Linked DNA regions of Nothobranchius furzeri. The protein of the gene in region 3 binds, or shares a complex with, the protein of the main gene of each other region. Links are inferred from orthologs where the notes say so. Each region holds a gene or a part of one and is shown on either strand. Other genes may lie near its edges.

Region 1 (8,226 bases), on a different chromosome or scaffold from region 3:
CTCAGCTTTTGTCTAATAATGCACAATGGATGCTCATAACAAACGACCAACTTAATAAAAGAACTTTAAGGTGAAAAATTACAGTTTTAGTTTATTTTCACAAGACGAAAAAGTTTTGTGTTTAGATTCTAATTTTCTTACTTAAGTCAGAAAAAAAGAAAGATTTTTCCAAACTCTGCATCAGATAATCAACACTTTTACAGCTTTTATTTCAGTAGATATCTTCCTGTTTGACCAGCAGTGCAGCCGGCATGAGACTCCACAGCAACATCCTGTTATGCAACAGCATCACAGCCGTATTTAAAGAGGCAGCTCTCTTCCTCCTGCCCTCTCTCCATTCACCCCCAGATTCAGGGATCGGTTCAGATATTTTCCCCTCCAAACAGTTTTTAATCCTAACAAATCAAATTACGGTAATACTAGATTATTTGAAGTATTTCTCTTTCTAGACTTTTTCCCTTAATGATTTTTCATTTCACAAAACACAGATTTTTGGAGGTTTGTATTTGTTTTCCAGGATTTGGAGTATGATGTTAGGGCTCACCGCATCTGGAAGATCTTCTATGGAAAAGCAAGGAACCAAGTTTATAGCTGGGACAAAGTTCAGCCAAAGGGACACCTTCAGAGAATCCTCATCTTTGTTCCAGTTGTAAATCTATTTAGGTAAGAATTGCATTTTCTATTTGTGTGAATGTGTGTTTCTTAAAGCTGCAATTAAAGCAGAAGTTAAAAGCAACGAGTAAAAAATGTCATTTAGATAAACAAAATAAGTCTACTAATTTATCGTGAGTCAACTTTATAAAAATACATTTTCACACAAAATACAACAATCTTTGCACGTCATGGTTTGGGTCTTTATTTCAGGTTTTGGAGGAACTTCTAGTCCTGTCCATATAAAAAATCCATATCTGGAAGTTTGTTGTTGAACAAAAGAAGTTTGGAAATGGTTGGATTTGGACCTGCAGACGTGCCTCCATCAGCAGCAGTAAAGTTTGTAGGAGCTGGAGCTGCAGCCTGCTTTGCTGACCTGCTCACCTTTCCACTGGACACTGCCAAAGTACGACTGCAGGTAAATAAAAGCATAGCTTCACCTCCTCTTATGAAGAACATTTTTGTGACTCATCAATGATCTAATTGTTTTTTTTTTAAACTGAGTTTCTTTTATATGTTACAAAGATCCAAGGAGAGGCCAGCGCGCCATCAGCATTGGGGAAAGTGGCTGCAGTGAAGTACCGTGGCGTTTTCGGCACCATCACCACCATGGTGAGAACAGAGGGACTCCTGAGTCTTTACAGCGGACTGGTGGCAGGACTCCAGAGGCAGATGAGCTTTGCTTCTGTCCGAATAGGTCTCTATGACTCTGTCAAACAGTTCTACACTAAAGGCTGTGATCGTAAGTCGATGCTATAAAAAAAATCCATTTGTGGAACTTTGCATTAAATTCGGCATCTCTCTCTCTTTGACGCTCAGATGTTGGCACTGGCAGTCGGCTGCTTGCAGGATGCACCACAGGCGCCATGGCTGTTGTGTTTGCTCAGCCCACAGATGTAGTGAAAGTCCGATTTCAAGCACAGGCCATGTCTGGCAAGCATGCTAGACACTACCATGGCACTATTGATGCTTACAGAACCATTGGTAGGGAGGAGGGCATTCCTGGTCTGTGGAAAGGTGAATTACTCCAAAAACCTGAAGTCTCTTTTCTTCATCCATGAAAATAGTTTTTTTGCAATCATACACCTCTTCCACCCAGGTACAATGCCGAACATCGCCCGCAATGCCATCGTTAACTGCACAGAACTGGTCACGTACGACTTCATTAAGGATCTACTTCTCAAGTCGACGCCTCTCACAGGTAAGTCGTAGACCCAACACGACACAGACGTGTTTGAGTCCTGGACGTAACCTTCAGCCTGTACCCCACAGACAACCTCCCTTGCCACTTTGTGTCAGCCTTCGGCGCTGGTTTGTGTACAACCATGGTTGCCTCTCCCGTTGACGTGGTCAAGACAAGATTTATGAACTCGGCTCCTAAACAGTACAGCAGCGTCCTCAACTGTGCTGCCGCCATGATGGCAAAAGAAGGCCCACTGGCCTTTTATAAGGGGTAGCGCAATAACAGAAGAATGTTAAAATCTTTGAGAGAGATAATTCAGACGAGTCTTTGGCCGTTTGCACAACTAAATCTACATCTGCTCTGTTTTGTCTTTTAGCTTCATGCCATCTTTCTTTCGGCTGGGCTCCTGGAACGTGGTGATGTTCGTAACTTATGAGCAGCTGAAACGAGCCGTCATGGCTGCAAGTCACAACCACACCGCTGCATTATAATCAACAACAGCACAACTGCCTTGTCAGCATTCTCTTTATATTTAGTCTTCATTTAACAAATGTTGTCACTTTTTTAGACGTAAATAAAACTTTAGTCATGTGTGGTGCCAAGAACTTTTTGGATCAGATGTCTTCTTTCAGCAGAGAGCATCTTTGGAAACTGAGTGTCAAAAGTAAGGACGAGGTTTCCTCTCTGCGACGGATCCTGGGGCAACGGCATTCCTTCTCCAGCCACCACTTTCTCATATGTAGGGCTGGAATGTTGTGACACCAAAGAAAGTGAAAAGTTAGGGTAAACAATGCAAAAAAAAAAATAAAAACTGTTCAAAAATTGTCCTCCAAATCTCTCGAGTGTCCAGCTTCTGATGTAATCAACATGTTTAATTAATAGAGTACTTTTTTAGTTAATGACTGGAGCTTGGAATTCCCAACTTACTGTACAATGTCATTGATGGGAATGTTGAGCAGCCTGCCATCTAGTGTCGGCACATTCACAGAAAAGCCGGTTAGAGCCTGTTGGAAAGGAAATCGCCTTCCAGCTCCAGTGTTTATTGCCTTTATGTAATAAAAATCAATTATAAAACATCACCATGACTCACCATCATCAGAGAGATCTGGGTTTTGTAGATAAGGTCATTGTTTCGTCGTACAAAAAGAGGATGACTCTTTTGTCTCACGGTGAACACGATGTCTGCCGGAACACGGTTAAGTCCCTGATGGTAAAAACACAATTAGAATACAGATGTGACCGAGCGTAAGGCTTAGACACCCACAACCAGAACCCCAGGCGGGTCTGGTTATAATAAGGAACCAAGGCAGAGGTAGAGAAAAACAGGGCCTTTATTTATTTCTGTTCGGACTTCTTAAAAACAGCTTGTACCTGAACGTAGATAAAAATGAACTCAATTGAGCAGCAATGACAAGCTAACAATCAGAAAACAAGGCCCACAGAGAGACTCTAGTAGCCACCCTCCACCTACCTGTGACTAAAGCAAAACCCTTCAAACCAGCCAAAATCTCACAGCAGCATGACAACCATGACAACCACCTCCCTAACAGACCCCCTGGTCTGCACACCTTTTTATAATCAGCCCATCAAGGAGTGGCTGAGATTGAGCTGAGACACATTCAAGGGCCATTCCTACCGTGAGAAATACTAAAACACCACCCACATATCACCGGGATGACCAGTTACCTGGTTACACAGATTAAATACAGAGTTGGCGTTTAATGTCATTAGATCTAATGAAGCTAAAAGCATCTGGATGTTCTGACATGAGTCAGCGATGTTCTGCTGAAGCCAACAAGTGAAAATGATTTATTATTAATGGGAAGGAATAGAGCAAATTTATTTTTGTTAAAATGCTGAAATAGTCGTTGGTTTTTAATATGGAAATCTATGAAAAACAGCAAATGACAAAAACAAAATAAAAATGTATTTATCAAGGGTGAAACAGGAAGGTTAACTGAAATTAGAAACATCCATTTAAATTTTCTGGCATTCATTTCACAGCTAATTTTCAATCATTTAAAAAAATGTTAATTTTTCACTTTTTTCCCACCTGATCTCCTTCTTTGGGGAATATGATTCTTGTGCCTTCTTTCCATCCACGTTTCACTTCTATAGTCAGAATCTTTTCCTGGATTTCAGAAGATTGTCCATCTTCATTTATAACCTGGAATGCAGTGTGTAATGTTTACAAATTCAACATAATAAATAGATTTTTTTTTTTTGTTATTTGTGGGATTGTGTTGCCTAGTTCCATGCCCAAGTAATCTGTGGCTGGTCTGAGGCCCCAAATACATCAACAGAACAAAACATAAAGATCTAAATTTCAGAAAACAGCAGCAAAAAACTCACCGGAAATTGTATTTTGTATGGTTCCATTTGTTATGTGAAGTTTTATTTGCTTTGTGACATGTTGTGTATTTTAGTCTTAACCGCTTCACATCAATGGACAAGATAAGTACTCAGTCTAGGATGTATTAGTGATTTAACCACATGGACTTCAGGCAGATTAAAATCATGGTCTCTGATAAATAAAGTAGCTTCTACCATGCGGGAGAGCTGGATCTTTTTTATGCATCCGAGGTACAAATCATCTAGTGACAAGAAAATATCTCTCTCTATCGGAGAATCTTGAACTTTCACCACTTCTGGATGCAAGCCACAGAGCTGAAGCGGCGATTCGATGGTAAGAAAATCTAAAAGAAAAAGAAAAACTTTATAAATGCAAGTCTGGGTTAGAAAAGGCACAGTGGTTAGTATTTTTTCTCACCTGCAAATGGGTTATCTCCTCCAAAAAACTGTCTGAATGTTTGTTCTGGATTCCCGTGGTAGGCATATTTTGGAGTCCAAGCTCCATCTGTGCAAAACTCAGCCGGGGCACCGTCTTTTAGACCCTCTTCACCAAAATGATCATAAATCGCCTTCTTTCGAGCTTTCACAAAGACAAAGCGGGATATTGTTGTATGTTGTGTAAATATTATGAAAATATTCTTGATTTATCCTGATTGAAATAAATATTGGATCTGTGTAGAGCATGTTACGCATTTCCCACGAGCTTGTTACTATAGTCTACATAAGACGTGTTCGTTAGTTATTTTCAGCATTTTGTTACAAAAACAAACAACCCGAGTCACACTACCGTCGCTAAGAACATCGTAGGCTTCACCCAGCTGGGCGAATCTCTCAACACTTCCGGGTTGGCTGTTCCTGCTGGGATGAAACTTCGGCGCGAGACGTCGATATCTGAAGATTAATATTAAACATGATGAACAAAGTAACAAACCCGCAAAAATAAAACATTTTATAGTCAAACTTACGCTTGTTTGATTTCTGCATCTGTTGCGTTTCTGTTTATTTCAAGCGTATCGTAATAGCCGTTAATCATTGTGAGTATAAATGCCAGCTAGCTGTGTTAACCAGTTTAGGGTTCAGCGCGTTTGAGTTTCTATGGTGACATCTCGGGAAACTCTCGCGAGAATAAAAAAAAGTGTTCTGGTCGTAAACATAACTCACAAGCCTATTTAGGTTATCATACATATAGCTTAGCTTTGACAAATTATTTCTATTTATTAGCTAAATTAATCACAATATTATTAAACTGACCGGCTTTGAAAAGCCCCCCCCCCCCCCCCCCCAAAGTTCAAAAACACATTTAATTATTGAAAAGGTTTATGAATGTTTCTCATAATTCACACAAAATCTGTTGCAACACCTTTTCACATGACACAGATCAACTCCAGCAGTGGAAACAAGAGTATATCTATTTATTCTTTCAATTAAAACCATTCCAGACAGAAACGTTAGGACTACTATGCTATACGTATTGGACTCTCCTCCATAAGTTCACACAGAAAAATTGCACAATATCATCAACGTGATCGAACTCCCGCTTCAAAGTGACAAACAGCAGACCCTCACCGACGACGTAAAAGGTGTCCAGAAGGTGAATGCATATCTTAGTAGATTTGGAAATCATTACCATGAAGAGGCAATATTAACAGCCATAAAAAAGATGCATGAATTCAATAGAAATAAATACTTCAAGTCATTGTGGATTAAATATGTGTGCTGACTTATCACTGACAAAAGATCAACAAGTAAAAACAAGCAGAATAAAACAAAGCTCAGAAAGTTTGTTTTCATAAATGGTTTGAAAAGTAAAGACAAGGAAGCCCTCTGCGGGTTTACTTCTCATCAGTGATGTTCATGGCGGGTTAGAAGAGATAATCCTTAGACACCAGCAGTAAAAAAAAAGAAGCTGTAGTCTGGTACTGTAGCTGTACTCTTTAGGGGGAAATATCAGCACAATGCTCCAATTAAGAACAGAAAACTAAATAAAAAAGGTGTAAAAAGCAACAAAAACTAGTTTTAAAGAAACATTTCAGAGGATGTGCAGGACAGTTTGTAGTATGGCCACACACTCAGGTGTGTAGTAGATTCAGTGTCCACTAGCCCATTTTAATAAAAAGCATCTCAGTACTGCTGTACGTCTCTATTCGGAACATGTTGATTAACTTAAATGAGCCTCAGATTATTATTATTTTTATTTATTTCAGAAGTTAAAATAAAATAATTCTTGTCAGTCTGTTTCAACTGGAATTAGTTAAAATGATGTTAGTTGACAAATTCTACAACACCCACTCTGCTAATTAAACTTAAAGGAATATTTGTGTTTTTTGCCATCATAAAAGAAAAAAGCACAATGCAGAAATTTTTAGTATTTAACTGCTTGGGTAAAAAGGGAGGCAAAGATTTTCAAGACCAAATAACACAGAGCAACTATCTTCACCTGAGGTGAACAGAGGTGGCAGGTGTGAGTATGGTTTTGTTACAGTGCAAATGTCAAATTGTAGTGATATGTGGCTTTCAGAGCATCCCGATGAGACGGCTTTAGTGTTGTTAGGCTGGGGAACTGAGGCAGGTGTAGTGGAGGGTATATACAGAGAAACGGACCGGGTCTCAGAAAAAGCCCCAAACTAAGATGAGTCCATTAGCAGGAACAGCCTCCTTCGCTGGCGGACTGCTCGAGCGGTTTCTCCAACTTGATGTCGATCACTGAGAGAGTTGAGAGTTAAAGACAATAACGTGAATCAAACATCAAAACTGAACCTTAATGAAACCACTAGGTGTCAGAGTCACAGAAGTCACACACGTCCATTGGCAGATCTGCCAACCTTGTCAACATTTTTGAGAACCACATGCGCAACGGTTTTTTTTGTTGCACTTTTGCAACTCTGTTGCTTTCCATGCTGTAATGTCCCCGTTCACTGGCTGGAAACATCTTCTTGAATAGTTTAATATTAAATAGTAAAACTCAAAAGTTGCAGTAGATTTAGAGCTCAGCCAATTCTGATGGTCCTCATTTGCTTTTTGTAATTATTTAATCTCTTGTTCTCGTTAAAAAAATAAATGGACAAATAAATAAATATTCACATCGGCAAGCCATCTCTGAGGTGACCCATAAGCAGGGTTGGTACAATTACTTCAACAACTGAAATAGCTCCAGTTTCAAATGTTGATTTGCACAAATTGGATGTTTTAACGCATGGAGGCTGCAATGTTAACAGCTGAAATAGCAGGAAATAATACAGTTGACTAAATAAAAATTCCTCAGCTGGATCACATGTGCTTTTGGGTGAACAGATCTAAAGTGTTATGAGGGTTAAATGACTAAAGCAGATGTCATAATGCTACGTTAGACTTTCCCCATGGCAGAAAATATTAGAATGATTTGATATGACATGACCTCCCCATCATGTCAGACAAAGATATGCAAAAGGATACTGTCCTCTCTGCTCTTGTCCTGTGTGGTGTCCATCCCAGGAAGGGCAGCTGCCACACGGCGAAACAGCTGCAGGTAAAAAAATAAAAAATAATTCTGTCAGAAATATTTAAAAAAAATATGATTAAAAAAACAATAAAACATGCTTGTGTGCTGTGTGTGAGCCCTGTTCATGATAAAGCATACGTTCAAATAAAGCTTGCACACAAGACATCTCATCAGAGCTTTGTCCAAAGTCGACAACTAGAAAAACAGCTGGCGTTGGAGACATGCTTTGTATGAGAGCCTTGGGAAAACGAGGTTGAGCTACTCAGCGGGAAAAAATATTTTAAATGACTGATGGATCCTTGTTGGGCTACAGAAACATGCTAATCCTCCCAAAGAAATGCATCAAATGAAACCACATGCAGATTTCCTAGCAACACACGCACTGTTACCGTGGTAATCAGCAGAGTGCTGGGCTTGGGTTTGCAAACTCTGACCCGTCAGAACAACGGTAATTTAAAGTTGGCCCAAACAAATCACGTTCAGGTGGGAGAGAGTTTGAAAAACTAATCTCATGCATCTCACAGAAGCAGAGGTTTAAAGCACATCTTTGTGCACGCGTGGG
Region 2 (8,372 bases), on a different chromosome or scaffold from region 3:
TAGGATGACTTAGGATCCCAGTTACAGCGTCTCTGTTGCCAGTAGCAATCAGGCTTTTTTTTTTTTCACAAAGGAAAACAGATCCGGGAATGTTTTAAGTCCTGTTTGCTCACATTCAGATAACTAAAACCTGAGTTTGATCCTGAACATCACTGCTTTCAGTCCTGACAAGATTCCTTCAGTGCAGTGTCACGTGGGTGGAGCCAGGTTATGGTCTCTTAGAGTTGGTCACAGCTGCGATTGGCTATTCTTCGTGTGTGTGTGTGTGTGTGTGTGTGTGTGTGTGTGTGTGTGTGTGTGTGTGTGTGTGTGTGTGTGTGTGTGCTCCTGACATGCGAAGCTGTCCCTGTAACATGTTTTTACTGTTAGTGCTTTCCGGCTGCTGTGATAAAACCATCTGACAGAGCCAGTCCATGAAATGAAGAGTGAATGAAACACACTCTCACACTCCGAGCTGAAAATCAGCCTCAGAGGTTAACTGCTGTAAATCTCCTCTTTTTTAATCTACTGAGAAGAAGTAATGCATCAGCAGAGGGCCCAAACGTGGTAATGCTGAAAGCTGATAGGCTGTGTGTATGAGAAATGGCAGACATCTTGCCTTTGATTGGATAACAGCAACATGACTCTTCCACTGCCTCTGATGTTTTATCTCCACAAACAGGAGTGGACTGGCCTATCTGGCATTCTGGCACTGTCCCGGTGGGCCGCTTAACCAAGTGGGCCACTTGCCCAGCTTGGGCCGTCCCAAACCAAGCCCCCGTCTCACATGCGGTTATAGAGACAAGTCCGCGAGCAGCACACACAACACCCCGTCCCTCCCCCCACATTTGGCGGGATAGACGAGTCGCGAGCAGCAACGTCCCCTGCCGAGGGCCGACGGTTCATAAAAATGCCAGGGCCAAATTTTGGTCCCAGTCCACCCCTGTCCAAAAAATAACACAAACCTGAATAGTGCTGCCGTGTGGTGGAGTTGCTAATGCTAACAGTTAGCTTCTGCTAGCCGAGATGCTCTCTGCTCTCTCCTGGCAGAAAAAAATGAACACAGCCCTCCCCATCATGAGCCAAGATGGGTGACTGGATGAAAGCTAATTTACAGTTTGACGAAGATCTGTGTGGCTTTTCCTGACCTGAGAGTTTCTCCATCAGCGGCTAATACAGGAAACAGGGGCTGAAGACTGTTGTCACATTTAGCATGCACGTGTAATTCAGAGTGACTGATCTTATTTCAAAAACAAGTACAAACAGTTTTGAAGTGAACTTGGTCTTTAAAAGGAACTTTACGGACTTTTTTTTAGAATTTTTATTCTCGCGATTGCCCCCTCAGGCCAAAAGTGTAACGGCAGCTTCAATAGTAGGCCCGTGCATGAGGACCGCATGCTGTACGTGCACACTCAACGAAAATAACAGCTGAGACAGTCCCGTGTGTGTGTGTGTGTGTGTGTGTGTGTGTGTGTGTGTGTCTGTGTGTGTGTGTGTGTGTGTGTGTGTGTGTGTGGCCCGGAGGACAGAGGACAGGAGAACGCGCAGCTAATTAATTAAATAATTTGGTTCCGTACCTTTCTCTTCAGCACAGCCGACAAAGGTTTAAGATGGGTCAGTCCTCCTGCATGCTCAGATCATTCCCTTACCTTGCTTGAAAAATTGTTCCAAAATGAAAGTTGAGCCCACATCTTTTTTATCTGTGAATTCAGTGCCGTTCGGCGAGTGTCAAATAAAAATTTGGGCATCTTACTGTAAAAAAAAAAAATATCATTAATGTAAAAAAGAAACTCTAAATAAACTATGTTCACACCCAGAATCAAACCCAGATCTTCTGCGTGGGAGTCAGACATCTTAAAAGGTGAGCTGCACTCTAGTAACATTCACAGTATCTGTAAGTTTTATATCCTTGATGACAGCTGAAACAACGTCAAACCAAAGAACGGTTGGGAGCAAAAATGGCTATTTTGTTGCTAATTTGCAGGAAATATCTAGAAAAAAGTAGCTAAGGGTCCTCAGAAATGTAGCTAGGTTCATCACTAGGCGTTAGGAACAGCGACAATGTCGCTGAGTTGGCACTACCTCACTCTCTGCTGCTAAAGCTAGTGATAGCAAATGCTACGGGCTATGCCTGAGCGTGAACGCGCATGAAGCAGCCTGCTCGACCCGAGCAGCTCTCTTTTTCTGTGATTTTACAGAAAAACAGGCAATCAGTAAAAATGCCAGGGCTCATTCTACAGGACCAGGGCATTGCAGGAGAATGTCTGAAGAAGACATTTATTATTTCTATACATGTTTTGGCTGTCAAACTTCCATGATGCCCCTTTAAAGAACATTTAGTGACTGATCAGTTTTTTTTCTTTCTGTCCTTTTCTACAGCGCTATGTGACCTCTTCCTGTTGCTAGCCTGTTTGTGTTAGACACAAACACCAGCGCATCAGTCAAATGTAACAAAATATTACAATTCTGAACATCACTACTTCAGATATTGATGTGCAAATTAATTTTGAGACAACACACACACACACACACACACACACACACTCACACTTGTGGTTGCAGACTCTTGAGAAAGGTCTGGATGTGGCTCTGTGAAACGACCCCGTCTAGGTGAGCCAAGTAGGTGTAAATCTGAACAAAAGTGTCGAAGGGGATCCTGGCAGCTCCACCTTCCTCGTCGTTTGTCAGGATCTCACAGGCGAACTTCAGGGAACTCTGGAGGTTCTGGGGGGATGCATTAGAGAAGCAGATGCAGGATTCTTCATGTTAAAGACAAGGAGACACGTTCTTTCTTAAAAAGCTTTGCATTCAGCAATAAAGAGACACAAGCAGCATCATTATGCATGCACATGCTCTGATTAGAAAAATGCTGCAAGTGTGGACCAACACTGCCCCCGTGTGGATGAAGGGCATTTATAGGAATGAATGTTCACTGAGGTTTATTAGTCTTTCTGGAGTCTGGGGGACCAAAAACACCTGGATTTTCTGCTCTGGCTGACTGATGGACACACGTGTTTTCCTGCTACGGTTCTCCAGCTGTTCTCAACCTTCAGGATTTATATTTAGCCATTTGTAACACCTCACCGCTCCTAAAGCGCTGCAGCCCAGAGCAAAAAACTCCATCCAGGTGATTTCTGACTCAAAGCTGCCCAACGACAGCATGCTCTCCAGCTGTTCCACAGGAAGACACAAGCCTTTCCATGTCCTCTCGAGTTCCTCTTTGCTGCATGTTTCCTTTGGGGACAGCTGCGATGAGGAGGAAAAAGAGGGAATTGGAGAGCTGAAGGTGAAATAATATCTATGTCAATGCCATTATAGCAGTCAGGGGAGAGTTTGTGGCCAAAAACTCAACATGTTTGTTCATTCTCTGAAAAACGAGAGAAGTCATTTGCCTTTAAGGAAGTTTTATTATGTAGTTCTTCACCAAATAGGCCAAAAAACGCTAAATATAGTAGGAAAATAATGCAGACACTAAATATCAGACATGCACAACTAAATGTATGAATAAATGTGGAGATTAAACACAATTTCTGCATTAAATTAACTATTTTCTCTTCTGTTCTATTTGAAATGTTTTGAATAAAATCTGTAGGAGCTATGATGCCTCTGCTTATAAATCCTGCTCACCTGCTTGTGGAGGATCTTCAGCAGACCTGGAGTCAGGCCAGTATCTGTCTTCTGGGTGGCAACATTCATCTCCAGCCTCTCTTTAACAGGGAGAGTGTCTCCATCAGCCAGCGCATGGAAATACCTGGAGAACACACAGCCACAGAGGAGTTGAGATGACCCTTTTCTTTTTAATTAGTGCATTCATTTATTTATCTTGTTAAGGGGAGTTAGTGTAGCCAACAGGAAAGCTTTTGCTGTCAACAGACACGAAAAAAGTGAAAGGTGCTTCTTTGTGTTATTATATTTGCATTGAGACATGTTTTTATTCACATTAATTAAAGAAAATATGTTATAACACAATTATATAATGATCCAAGCCTGACCCAAACCCAAAAATAATACAAATAGGGACTCACGCTGCACTCCATACGAGCACATCTTTGGGTTGTGTCCGAATGGCTGCTCTGGTGAAGTTTTTGAGGATGTCTGGCAGCTCGGGGGGGATCCTGATTTGCTGGGAACAATAGAGAACATCTGGAAGTGGCATGGCTGCAATTCAGTCCTGTTAGTGTACAGAACAATAAAGTTGATTAGATAACGGAGGAAATCCACTATTTTTCTTTTCCTGCATTTCTGTATAAATTCTTGCCTCATTTTTTTATTTTTACCCTGAAAGGCACTTTACAAATAAACTTTACTAACTGTAATTCTTTTGCAACTAGGTTAAAGTTCCCTGGATTTATTTTATTTACCAACATTTTTTTCAATTTTTATGACAATGGTAACCGATTCTGGTTAAATAGCTGAGAATTTAAAAAAATGATTTCCCTAACAAACTCACAAACAGGCTTTACAAAAGGCTACTTAAAGAAATCCTCACAATTTTTTGTTTTAGAACAATTTATGGCTGTTTATAATGTTTAACTATAACGAATATAGGTGATGTTTGTTGATCCATTGCTACAACTCCAAGCAGACATGTAACATTTAACTAAATAAATGTATTTGTGTCAACGCATCATAACATCACCTGATCCGAAAGAAGACGACTCTGAAAAGTAACTTTTTACCGAAAATACGTCCTAAAATAAAGGATGAGGAGCGAATTAAAAACGGATAAAGCTCGTTAGCTTCACAGGCTCCTCGTCGCATAGCAACAACTTTCTACTTCTGAGATAAAAATGCGTGCGTCACCAAACCGCTATCGCCCCCTGCTGTTCAGGACACACAAATAAGCGCGACGTGGGGTCGCGCTGTCGTAGTGGCTGGCCGCCATCTTGGAGAGGTCTCCAGTCACCCCCAGTGCATTTATTTCTACTGAGGAATGCTTACCGAACTAAAAAAAATACATTTTTTGCTAAATCAGACATGTGGGAAGGTATGATAGTTAAATACAAATAAAATAAAATATTAAATCCGAAAAGGTAGGCTAGAAAATTTATCCCATGTGATCTATTTTCAATGGAGCACCGGTTGTTGCAACTATAGGCTGCACAAAAAACAAGCATAGTTGCTCACCCTGTTGTATTTGAAGAGTAAGGAACCCACTCAATAGGGCAGCGACGCTGTTACGCTCTCCATCGCCCTATGAGACACCTACATATCCACGACTATGGTTCAGGTCTTTAGATCTCTAAACATTCAAGAAGTAAGCCAAAATCTCAAAAATATAAAATATTTCCATTAACATGGACCTTAATTATATTTTAGTTACGAAAAAATATATCTTTTACTAAAATTCTAACTTTTTCAGAAAATGAATGAAATGTCCTCCACATCTTCTTCCTACTGGGATAGAGGAGTCGTTTTATTAAACATTTGTAATAAAAATACTTCTCCACAAAACGTGATAATTTGAAAATGGAAAAATACAACAGAACTATTTTTACCAGCACATACATTTAATAATCTGGTACAATAAACTGCACCATAAACAGGCAAGAGGTTTTATTACTAAACAGCATCCTGAAAACACAGAAAGCCGCAGACTGGTTGGAAAACAACAGAACAACTACGAGTATCTGGTAACCAAAGTGACACGGACAGTTAAAAAAAGAAAACCTAAACCTCACCCAATGCTAAGAAAAAGCACGATGACCAAACTACAGGCACATTATACACATGACCACCGTTAACTTTCATACACTAAATAGTGCAAATCTGTTCGAACACGTATCACATGAGCAGGCAGAATGCGCTTGAGGGCAGAATCAACATATAAATGTCATCTATCCCAGGTTTGGTGCACAAAGAAACCATTAAAGATGACAAACCTGGACAGAAACAACATGGACATGACACAATCCAGACATTAGTCCTCTTGAACTTGTCCTGAATATCTTTCTACAAAAATATAAAGCTGTGCTTCCCCCCAAAACCCACCTAGGATGGGATAAGACATGCTGTTTTCAAACAATATTCCAGAAGTTTCTTCCCTTTACCCTTATTACTCTCCTCTGAACAGAAACGTGTGCATCGTTTAAAAGCACTTTACCGCAGCTCTGTGACGCAACACGACCAATTAGAGATTTGGGAATGTCAGCAAAATACTTTTTATTTCACCTAAACTTGTTTTAACCGGCACTCCCAGAAAGAATGAACTCAAATCTAAAACAAAAGTTTAGCCAGTGAAAACTGCTAACGATGGCTCAATCTTGTCTCTGTTGAACGAGCTCACAGTAACTTCAAATAGTCGTGGTTTGACATGATTTTATTTCATAATCGTTCCTCTCACATCCCTGACATTCTCACCATCACGTTTGATCTGTTCTATAATTTTACCACTTCTGTCTTTTTTTTTTTTTTTGAGAGAGATCAGACCTTCATCTGCTACAAGCTCAAACACATGTTCCTCTTCCCGTTTCTATCTCTTGCCCCTTTTATTCCCAGCAGGGGGCTTTTTCAGCTGGAGAAAGGGCGTTCCTGTGCCGAAGCCGGCAGCCGGTTGGTTGGACACCCCAAAGGTCAGGCCAGCGGACTGGTTGATGCCGGGGTTGCTGAAGTAAAAGCCAGAGTTGCTACTGCTACCGAAACCTAGAAAAAGGAAATAAACAAGGAAGGTCAAAAAAACAAAACAAAACTGGATTTTAAATGATTTAGGAATAAATAACTAAGCAGATGATTGCTACTTTGCTATGCTATTAGTCATGACAATATTATCAGAGGAAAAGTTGGCCTGCAGTACAAGAATGGGAAATATTGAGTATTTGCCCTTTTTTTTTTTTGGTCACATTTAAATGTTTAAGCTCAGCAAACACATTTTCGTATCAGAAAAAGCTAACCCAGGTTAAGGCCAAATGTAGTTTTAAAATGATGATTTAGCGTATTTAGATACTTGTTTTATTTCAGCCACATTTGAGGGGTTTTCCAGCCTGAAATGGCCTGTTTAAGGTCAAAGGTCAGACTTTCTCCTTCAGAATTTTCTGGTGGTGGTCCAGGCAGTTTCTCTCTTACCCCTGCAGGGTTTGAGTTATTGTTCAGAGTTCTTTTGCTTTTTGAGCTCTTTTAGCCTACTTTATGGTGGGTGGGTCCAAACTCAGGGGCTACACCCTTTGAAGGCCGATTATGTACGTCACTGCATCGTAATAAAAGCTGTCCAAATTCAACAACTCCTTCAAATGCAGCCCACAAATCCGTCTTTTCCCCGACGCGAGGACCGGTCCGGTGTATCCTCCAAGACGCATTTCGGCCCAAACGTTAGAATTTTTCAAATAACAGGTCGTTTTGGGGACTTTTGCTCCCTTGATACATAAAATCATTATTTGAAAACTGTTTATTTCTACTTAATCTTAATGTCTTTGATATTAAAATTTGTTTATTGATCCGACACATTTGTAAAGAGGCAAAGAGTTCTAACATCACCGTACACCACAGCCCAAATGTCAGCTGGTGGTCGAGATGCCAAAACAGACACCCGTAACATCAAAGGCAAATAAAGTGACTGATATTTCTAAATATTTACAGAAACTAAGGTCGTTTCTCAATGTGTGTACTTGTCTGAATGTGTACAGAGTACTTCGACGTTGGCCCAAGTACTCCTCCATTCCTAAGTACATATCATGGCAAGTATGCCCAAAGTTCCTGGATGTATTATAACGTAGCCCATTATATCGAGGACACATAAACGCTCCTTTCAGCAGACTTGAGCCAGCAAGGTATCCCATAATGCATTGCATCACAAACCGGAATGGACAATGGCAGAAGAGAATGTTTAGGAATAATTGAGTCTTAATAAATATAAAGTTGTCCTTTACTTTATATGATTCTGTGTAGCTTGTACATTTTGCTGTATCTTATTTGAGACTCTTCGCAATACCGCAAAACGTCAACTAGCTAACCCGCTATTTAAAAAACAAACAGCATTGCCTTTTAATTCTATTTCTGGTCCTCTATTTTTAACCGTAGCTTAAAGCAGCAAAGTACTGCTCTGGTCCAAACGCCGTCCTCGTACTCGGTACAATGGACTTTCTGCTGAACTTGCTAACAATGCACGTGGGTATTGAGAAACGGCCCATAACGGTTTCATGTTTATCTTGTATTGTGCAGTCCTTTAAAGGTTAGCGTAATATAAAAACATGGCCAAAATATTAGTGCCACATTACCGCTCTAATAAAGCCATTGTTTTCTTTAATATCTTTGTGATGCCAGGTGTGAGGAGGGTATGCAGCTTGTGTGTACCTGCACTCAAACTGCCTCCTGTGGGCTTACTGGTAGAGGAGAAGGCGAAAGAAGACCCCCCAGTCCCTACCCCACCAAACCCTGGCCCACCACCAAAACCTGTGAGA
Region 3 (8,438 bases):
GAACATTTGCGACTTCAGAAGTGGAGGAAACCTGGTGTAGTTAAACTTGTGCTTTCTAGCGTCATTAGCTGGATCTACTGTGTTTCACTCCTGGGTTTACACCAACATAGCACCGACACTGATTCATCCAGTTAAACATCAGACTACTTGACATGAGGTTATAAGGCCTTGAACCAAGCGCTGCAATGTGATATTAACTTGATATTAACTTAAGTGCTAGCTTCGCATGCTAATGCTACCTACCTGCTCTTTGCTTTAGGCAATACTCCTGAGTCCTGAACCTTATGTGTTAAACTTTCAGACAAGTCCATCATCATGTGGAAGCTGACTCGTGACGAGACCAACTATGGGATCCCTCAGCGCTCTCTGAGGGGCCACTCTCACTTTGTAAGTGATGTTGTCATCTCCTCGGATGGACAGTTTGCTCTCTCAGGCGCCTGGGACGGCTCCCTCCGACTGTGGGACCTCACCACGTAAGTACAGCTAGGAAGAAAGCTTCTACATCAGATCCGCTGTCCTGTAAATATATCTCTTTACCCGTTTACCTGCTCCCAACATATTTAAATGTGTGAGAGCATCTAGAGAAGTCAACTTAGGAAGGTTGTGATGAAATCAGTTAATCTGGGTCCTTTAGAGCAGGAAACGTGTGGAACTTGCAGGATGGTACCCCTCAAGGAAAAAAGTTGCTGACCCTTGATCTGCATCATCTAAGCATCTATGTGGAACACAGTTTAAACTAGTTAATGCTTTTCTTTTTAGAAATAAGTAAGTTGGTAAAGACTTGCATGTTTGTATTAGCTGGAAGTATGTCCTTTCTAAATTTAAGTTGTAACAAACATCCTGGATAGTTTTAAAGATATGATTTGTCACCTTTGTTCTATAAATGAAAATGTGTTTGAACCGATGTTAACACACAGTCCGCGCTAATGCGTATTTGTTACTAGAGCTACAAACATTTCAGCACTTATGACCTCTAAATACCAAGTTGCCAGGGAACATAACTTAAGCCATAAAACAGTTGGGAAATGACATCTAGTTAAGCTACACCATGTGTAAACCCAATCTTGGTGAACAAACTTCATTTGCGTGTACATGACCGTGCAACAGCTTTTTATACTAGTGTTTTGTACCACAGATAGAACTTCAGTAATCTCGCACTAAATAATAAACAGCAGACATTTAAAAATGCAGTTATATACAATTACAATGTTTGTCAGAGATCCTATAAAATAAATTCTCCCAGTTTCTTGTACCCGACACTGTTGTTCCACAGTGTTATTGTCCTTACTACACCTTCATCACTTTATACACTCCTTAGTTGTGACTTAAGAGAACAGTAGATCTAAATAAATGGGTTTGGGGTTTATACAGGAATAAAACTACAGTCCATGTTTGAACAGTTTTAATCATCTAAGTGAGGAGCTGGAATTTGATTCTGGCTAAAGTGCTGGAACCCGATATAAACTGAACCTAAAAAAAATTGTCATTGATCGGCATTAAGGTTTGTGTACTAAAGTGATTTGTTTGAATACAAGTGGGGAAAAAAACTGTTTTAACTCCTTAAATGACTGTAGCTTGTAGAGGCCATAATTAGTAGAGGAGGGCAGGCATTTTAAACTGTAAACTTAATATAGCTTTATTCTAATCGGACGTCTTAATCTTGTGTTTTTCTAGTGGCACCACCACCCGTCAGTTTGTTGGACACACAAAGGATGTTTTGAGTGTGGCTTTCTCTGCTGATAACCGTCAGATTGTATCTGGCTCCCGAGACAAGACCATCAAGCTGTGGAACACTCTTGGAGTCTGCAAGTACACCATTCAGGTGAGCTGTCACTTAATGCTGCTGCTGCTGCTGCTTAGAGCTGTTCCTTCTTTGGTTTTCATTTAGTTTTTGTTCAAGCTTTTTTTTTTTTTTTTAACTAGTTTTACATTTTCTGAGGTAGAGCACACAGCTCAGCCATCAGCTGGAGCATTGTGGACTAAATCTGTATGATGGTTTTAAGTGTGTAGTGTGTCAGGATCATGGAATAAGTCTCGGTGGTTACATGAGCTAAAGTGAGCCATTGTTGGGATGAGCTGAACTTTAAACTGTTCAAACTTGATTTTGCAGGATGAAGGCCATTCTGAGTGGGTGTCTTGTGTTCGCTTCTCCCCCAACAGCAGCAACCCCATCATTGTCTCCTGTGGCTGGGACAAGGTGGTCAAGGTATGGTTTACTAGTAATTTGCTAATGTTTGGTCCTGGTTAGATGGTTTAACTTAGTTTGCATTTATTAGCTGACTACTTGCGTAAGACAACCTTTTTTATGATTAGCTTCCATGTTGGATGTTGATGTTTGTTCTGTCTCGGGTGTGATGCCTCTCAGGTGTGGAACCTGGCCAACTGCAAGCTGAAGACCAACCACATTGGTCACACTGGCTATTTGAACACAGTGACCGTCTCCCCTGATGGCTCTCTGTGTGCATCTGGTGGAAAGGTAACATCTGCTTCCAGTAATTGTAGATTTCTGTAAAATGTTCTTTTTTAGAATCTTTAAGTGAACGGACAAGTTTTTGCAATGATGGAAAATTAATCATACATCTGTTTTAAAATGATGACAATAGAGGCTGTTTCTGAGCACGACTTGAACTTGTCACGATCCCCGTTTGTGGGGTTGGGTATCGTGTTAAGAGCTGCGATGTAATCACTGAAGAATGTTTTCTGTTGGTGTTCAGGATGGCCAGGCCATGCTGTGGGACCTGAATGAAGGCAAGCACCTGTACACCCTGGATAGTGGTGACACCATCAACGCCCTTTGTTTCAGCCCCAACCGTTATTGGCTCTGTGCCGCCACCGGCCCCAGCATCAAGATCTGGGTAAGATGTTAAGCTAAACATGTTATCAAGGAGGACTGTGATGAAATTTAAAATGTTAGCTGTATTGTTTGATGATATCAGAGGCTGTTTCTGAGCTCCGACCCAATAGAGAATGTCAATAAATTCAGGTATGTTACTTATTACCTTGGTTAGAGATACCATCACTCTGGTTCTCTTTTACCTCATTCAGGATCTGGAGGGCAAGATCATTGTGGATGAACTGAAACAGGAAGTGATCAGCACGAACAGCAAGGCAGAACCGCCACAGTGTACTTCCCTGGCGTGGTCTGCTGATGGACAGGTACGACACTCTCTGGAGGACCTTTAAATGCAGATTTCTGTTGTGACCCCTGTGATTATACCCATTCACTTTTAACTCTGATTAATTCTGCTGACAGTCCTGCAAATATGAGGGGCACCAGAGAACCACTCACATGATTGAGCCTTTTTGAAAAGCGTGCTATTATGGATGCTAACTTCTGTTCCTCTTTTACTCAACAGACCTTGTTTGCTGGCTACACTGACAACCTGATCAGAGTGTGGCAGGTCACCATTGGAACACGATAAGAACAGCCTTGCTAATGCAGCTTTGAATAAAGAGACTCTTTGAAAATAAAATGTTTTGATCTTGTATTTAATTTTGACTGTTAAATTGTTTTTTATCAAAAGGGAACATCGATCACATCGATTTAAAAAAATCTGCTGAAACAATGATCAACAGTAACGTGAAAAAATGATTGAAAAATTAGGGAAAACTAAGTTTCTGTATTTATTTATTTTACTTATTTTGCCTTTATTTAACCAGGTTGGTCCCATTGAGATACAAGATCTCTTTTGCAAGGGAGACCTGGCCAAGACGGACAGAGCAGCAGCACAAGTTACAAAATTAATACATTCACATTTAAATACATTTCCACATAAACTCAATTAAAACAAACACACTGATGGTCTGGATTCCAGTGACCTAATCAGTCAAATCCACTCAAGGAAACCAAATCCTTGATTTTTAGATCTTTTTGTAGTGAATTCCATGTTGATGGAGCAGCAAAGCTAAAAGCCGACTTTCCCAGCTCTGCGAACCTTAGGAACAACAAATTGCAAAAGTTCACTTGAGCGGAGATTGAACTGATTCTGCTGTGAGGATGGAAACATCCCTATCAGCTTGGACCAGTTTTTATTAAGTGAAATGGGATTTAAAGTCTGAAACATTTCTATTTTTTAACACTGTTCAAATAACTGCTTGTACATTAAATCTTGGCTGCTAATCTGAAATGGAATACAGAATTAAAATTACACAAAAAAAAAACCATGGGACAACCGGTCATTAAAATTTTGATTTAACTGGTGGTTTTCTAAATCTGGGGCTTGTAATTTGGAAAGTTCAACTGACGTTTGCAATTCGCATGGATTGTCCTACTTCAGACGCCGTAATTGTATCCTAGCAACTAGTCGACAGAACGAGCCCAGAGTGCTGCTCCAGGTTGGAGTTCCTTGTTTAGTTTACTGCTACATAGTCAAGTTTTGCGTGAGCCGTATTTCGTGGCCATTTAGCGTTCAGATGAAGATGGATCGTAAAAGGCCATATCACCGTGTCATCGTAGAGAAAACGCTGGCCGTCATTAAGCCAGACGCGTTTCAGCTGGCAGATGAGATTGAGAATGTTATCGTCAAATCTGGCTTCAGTATACTTCAGGTGAGTGGAAGTCACCTACTTTCTAGAGGCGCGTTTTCAATATTTGTGGAAGGAAGATATTTTTATTAAAATAGATTTATTTAGATGCCCGATAAACGCTGATTTCCATTGATCATCCTACGATCTGGTTTCAAATATTACGCTTCATGGCTTCAAAAGGTGACCGCTTTTTGAGGCCGTGTGGCTCTTACGTAGTTTTTTCAGTAGAGGGCAGTAACGGGCTGTAATTTTACTGGAAACCCTATTAAGACACCTTTTAAACGTTTAAAGGTGAATGTCTGCATGGTGTTTCTGTACATCTTTTTTCTTTCTTTTTTTTTTTTTTTTTTTTTTTTTTACTAATTGCACTTCAAAGATACTTATTGCTGTTAACTGAAACATGTCAACCATTTGATCTAGGAATGTGTGGATGTTAAATACTACAGATTACTTATATTTTTTGACTGAAATTTCACATTCACTCTTGACCATGACCTGTCAGTAATTTGCATAGACAAGTTAGTGGAAGACCTAAAACAGTGAACTGTAATGTGTGCAGCTACACACCAAATAATATACATGGGGGTGGAAGACACCCTCCTCTACCTGCAGCACTGGGTATATGTCGATGGTGCTGGCTCACCTCAAAATGCAAAAAAGCAATCTCAAGTGCTTTTAACACCATACAGCCGTGTCTACTGCAGCAGAAGATGAGGGGTGCAGGAGTGGTTGAACATCTGACTGCATGGACCATCAACTATCACCAACTGGCTACAGTACGTGAGGCTGCACAACTATATGTCTGATGTGTTTGTGTGCAGTACTGGAGCTCCACAGGGTATGGTGCTCTCACCCTTTCTATTCACCTTCTATACCTTGGACTTCAGCTACAAAACCAGCAACTGTCACCTCCAGAAGTTCTCAGATGACTCAACCACTGTCGGCTGTGTGTCTGAGGGGAATGACCTGGAGTACAGGTCAGTCACAATGGACTTTGTGGACCGGTGTGAATGTAACCACCTTCGTTGGGGTGCAGGCAGCTCTGACCAAGACTGGAAGCTCGCTTCTGGGCTGCCAACTAGTTTCAGTTGAGGAGACATGTGAATGGAGGATGGTGGGCAAAAGGACCTCCCATTTTGGAAAACCCCTCCCACCTATTGCATTCCACTGTGGAGGCCATGGACAGCTCCTTCAGAGGCAGACTGAGACATTCAAGATGTAAAACAGAAAGCTGCTGTAGGTTATTCATCCCCTCAGCAGTAAGAGTGTAAAACTCCTGAGATCAACTGGTACTGGCATTATCCTGTTACACAATAACATCTGTGCAATATTTAGTATGAGTTCAATACTTGTGCAATACCTGATGTACATCAGCATGTCTGTGTCCCTTGTGCTGCATAGTTCTGGAATCCAAGTTTTTCTTTTTTTATTTGTGGTTTTTAGTTGTTGAAGCTAACAATAATACCTTTGTGTATTTACCTGTGATCTTCTTCTTCTTCCTTTTCTAAGCATATGCGCCGCTGCTGTAGAAAGTTAATTTCCCCATAGTGGGATTAATAAAGTGTATTCTATTCTAAAACATTGTTACAGTTTACAATTGAAATTACTGCTCCCCTTGGTTCTATTTTTGTCAGATATTGCAGTACTGTACAGAACTGCTTTAGACAGATTCATGAAAAGTTGAAGTATAATGTCTGTGAGAGCTTCACAGTGTCACTTGTCCATTTAAACAAATCTGAGCTGTCTGAACTAGCTTAATATTTTTGAAGTTATATTCTATTTTCCACCACAGTGGTTCACTCACTCCACTGCTCTGTTTTCTGTGGCAGAAGAGAAGGCTGCAGCTGAGTCCAGAGCAATGCCACGACTTCTACGCAGACCAGACACTCATGTTCCCCAGTTTGACGGCCTTCATGAGCTCTGGTCCCATTGTTGCCTTGATGCTGGCTCGTGACAATGCTATCGCCCACTGGAAGTCCCTTATAGGGCCTGCCAATGCTACCAAAGCCAGAGAAACCCACCCAGAATGGTAAATCGCAGATATTTCTGCCAGTAGAAAAAAAGCATTTATGTAGTAAAATCAATGTTTGTCTTTTTACAAAGACTCAGGATTTAAATGTCCTCTTGAGGCAGGTTTCTACTTACATCCCAATTTATTAAGACATACCGACAATTTTTGCATACCGTTTCCCCTGATATATTTCTTTTGTACCTACAAAACCCACTGCCATTTTTCCGAATATTATGTGCTCACCTTGAGTTCATTTGTGAATGTGCTACTGGTCTGAGCTGTAAATCTTTAGTTTCTATTCTGCCTTTAGCCTCAGAGCAAAATATGGAACGTCTGAGCTGAAAAATGCCCTCCACGGCAGCGACTCGTGTGACGAAGCTGAGAGGGAGATCAAATTCATGTTCCCAAACTGTATGTTCCTCTCTCACCCATGCGATTATTCTTAAAGGTAATTACTATTGACTGTGATCTATCCCTTATCCTCTCTTTCTGTAGCTATAGCTGAACATGTTCCTTCAAGATGTGAAACAGAAGAATACATGAACCAGTATGTAAATCCAGCCCTGCTGAAGGGACTCACTGAACTCTGCAAGGAAAAGCCTCTGAACCCCTGTGTAAGGACTGATGCTCAGTGTGAGGAAAGATATTAAATATTATTCATCTGCTGTTGAAGGGGTTATTGTTAACATGTTGATTTCTGTCCTGCATATTTGTATTCAACAGATCTGGCTAGCTGACTGGCTTCTGAAAAACAATCCAAACCAGCCTCAGATATGCGACAAGGACACTGTGGAAGACTGATGGAGAAACAAGGAGGGAAGTCGGTTCAGTGGTTTTGCTTTTGACAAACTCTTCAGTCTGTTGGTGTACAATAATAAACAGGATTTTCAGCAGTTGACATGTTTTATTTTTCTGTTATATAATAATTATCTCAGGCCTTATTCTCCAATGAGTTCATCTTGCATCATTGATTAAATCAGTGAAAAATGTCCCATCAAATAATTGAATGCAAGAGGTTACGTGGTTAAAACAGACACCATGTTCGTTAAACACTGTTTTGGCCATTTTATTCATCAAAACAGATTGTGCTGCTGCTCTGGAGTAAACCCCACCGGAGTCTGAGTGAAAAGCAATAATTGTGGGTCAAAGCTGACAGTTTGTAGGATTTATTTTTTTGATCGACAGCGTGGCTATCTCCACCGAATACACAAGTTTTAGCAGCTGAAAAAAGGTTCATCGAGTTCCTTCCTGTGTTCTGAAGGCGTGAACGACTTGGACGAAAGAGACATTGACGCATTGTGATTGGGTGATGCTGCGATTGACAGCTTGCCTTAACCAATCACGTTGCCTCTTGGCAGAACTGTCTCCCCCACCCTACCGGTGCTGAAAAACCAACCACGAGTTGGCGTCGTGTGGGAGAATCCATCTTGAAGAGAGCTCTCTGGTTGTGCGACCAGTAAGTACTGTTATATTTTTATAGCTTGATCGTGTTTTAGAAGACTGACGCTTAGACAGTCCGGTATTGTGTTGCCCCTCCATATTTGTTCAGGTCAACGTTGAACAAATGTGTTAACCGCGTCACGAGGCCACATTTCGTGCCGTTACGGCCTCTTGTCTGTAGCTTACGTAACTGCGAATTTTAGTTGCATAGTCCAGCCTTGGTTTATCTGTGTGACACAGAGGGCAACAGCGTTGCTAATCGCTGCCCTTCAGCAGAAGTGTACGATAGATTGCGTCTAGTTAACGGGTTTTGTGAGGAAGCGGCCAAGTACTGCTACGTGCGTACGCGGCTTCGCCGGCCAAAATGGTGGGGTACGCACGCAGTGGCACCACGTCAGTGGCGAGGCTTTGTGGAAACACCGGCGCTTATTGTGCAAAAAACTAGGTAATTCTTCTGTGT

What was found.
Region 1: the proteins of nme5 (region 3) and dnajb13 are in contact, whole or in part, in a cryo-EM structure (PDB 8WZB), measured with the Mus musculus proteins. The link is inferred for Nothobranchius furzeri from reciprocal best matches to the Homo sapiens genes NME5 and DNAJB13. Residues at the interface, in NP_542368.2 of Mus musculus: Glu52, His53, Asn56, Met193, Lys199, Pro200, Lys201, Leu202, Cys203, His204, Phe205; in NP_705755.2 of Mus musculus: Thr156, Lys157, Lys158, Thr181, Ile182, Asp183, Arg185, Trp188, Arg189, Gly191, Thr192, Arg193, Ile194, Thr195, Phe196, Glu197, Pro281.
Region 2: nme5 (region 3) and ropn1l share a complex: the UniProt entries of both Homo sapiens proteins name them as parts of the axonemal radial spoke complex. The link is inferred for Nothobranchius furzeri from reciprocal best matches to the Homo sapiens genes NME5 and ROPN1L.

The regions. Positions count from the first base shown.
Region 1 is NC_091750.1:48,860,877-48,869,102, reverse strand, and holds dnajb13 (dnaJ homolog subfamily B member 13), read right to left. Parts: upstream 5,439-8,226; 5' UTR 5,220-5,438; coding exon 5,152-5,219; intron 5,078-5,151; coding exon 4,974-5,077; intron 4,767-4,973; coding exon 4,605-4,766; intron 4,531-4,604; coding exon 4,382-4,530; intron 4,002-4,381; coding exon 3,888-4,001; intron 3,039-3,887; coding exon 2,925-3,038; intron 2,839-2,924; coding exon 2,762-2,838; intron 2,657-2,761; exon of another isoform or gene 2,580-2,656; coding exon 2,417-2,579; 3' UTR 2,342-2,416; downstream 1-2,341. Other genes in the region: dicarboxylate carrier UCP2, read left to right, coding at 944-1,069, 1,177-1,393, 1,471-1,668, 1,751-1,852, 1,924-2,104, 2,211-2,325; ras-related protein Rab-6A, read right to left, coding at 6,825-6,889, 7,619-7,685. UniProt on the Homo sapiens protein: Functions as part of axonemal radial spoke complexes that play an important part in the motility of sperm and cilia.
Region 2 is NC_091747.1:57,002,366-57,010,737, reverse strand, and holds ropn1l (ropporin-1-like protein), read right to left. Parts: upstream 4,757-8,372; 5' UTR 4,619-4,756; intron 4,273-4,618; exon of another isoform or gene 4,151-4,272; 5' UTR 4,136-4,150; coding exon 4,005-4,135; intron 3,731-4,004; coding exon 3,607-3,730; intron 3,226-3,606; coding exon 3,064-3,225; intron 2,704-3,063; coding exon 2,528-2,703; intron 1,732-2,527; coding exon 1,617-1,731; 3' UTR 1,482-1,616; downstream 1-1,481. Other genes in the region: nup58 (nucleoporin p58/p45), read right to left, coding at 6,452-6,621, 8,266-8,364. UniProt on the Homo sapiens protein: Functions as part of axonemal radial spoke complexes that play an important part in the motility of sperm and cilia. Important for male fertility.
Region 3 is NC_091741.1:97,226,477-97,234,914, reverse strand, and holds nme5 (nucleoside diphosphate kinase homolog 5), read left to right. Parts: upstream 1-4,201; 5' UTR 4,202-4,413; coding exon 4,414-4,548; intron 4,549-6,356; coding exon 6,357-6,556; intron 6,557-6,848; coding exon 6,849-6,949; intron 6,950-7,033; coding exon 7,034-7,152; coding exon of another isoform or gene 7,153-7,171; intron 7,172-7,261; coding exon 7,262-7,339; 3' UTR 7,340-7,436; downstream 7,437-8,438. Other genes in the region: small ribosomal subunit protein RACK1, read left to right, coding at 302-473, 1,675-1,822, 2,111-2,206, 2,366-2,476, 2,715-2,855, 3,046-3,156, 3,357-3,422. UniProt on the Homo sapiens protein: Functions as part of axonemal radial spoke complexes that play an important part in the motility of sperm and cilia. Does not seem to have nucleoside diphosphate kinase (NDPK) activity.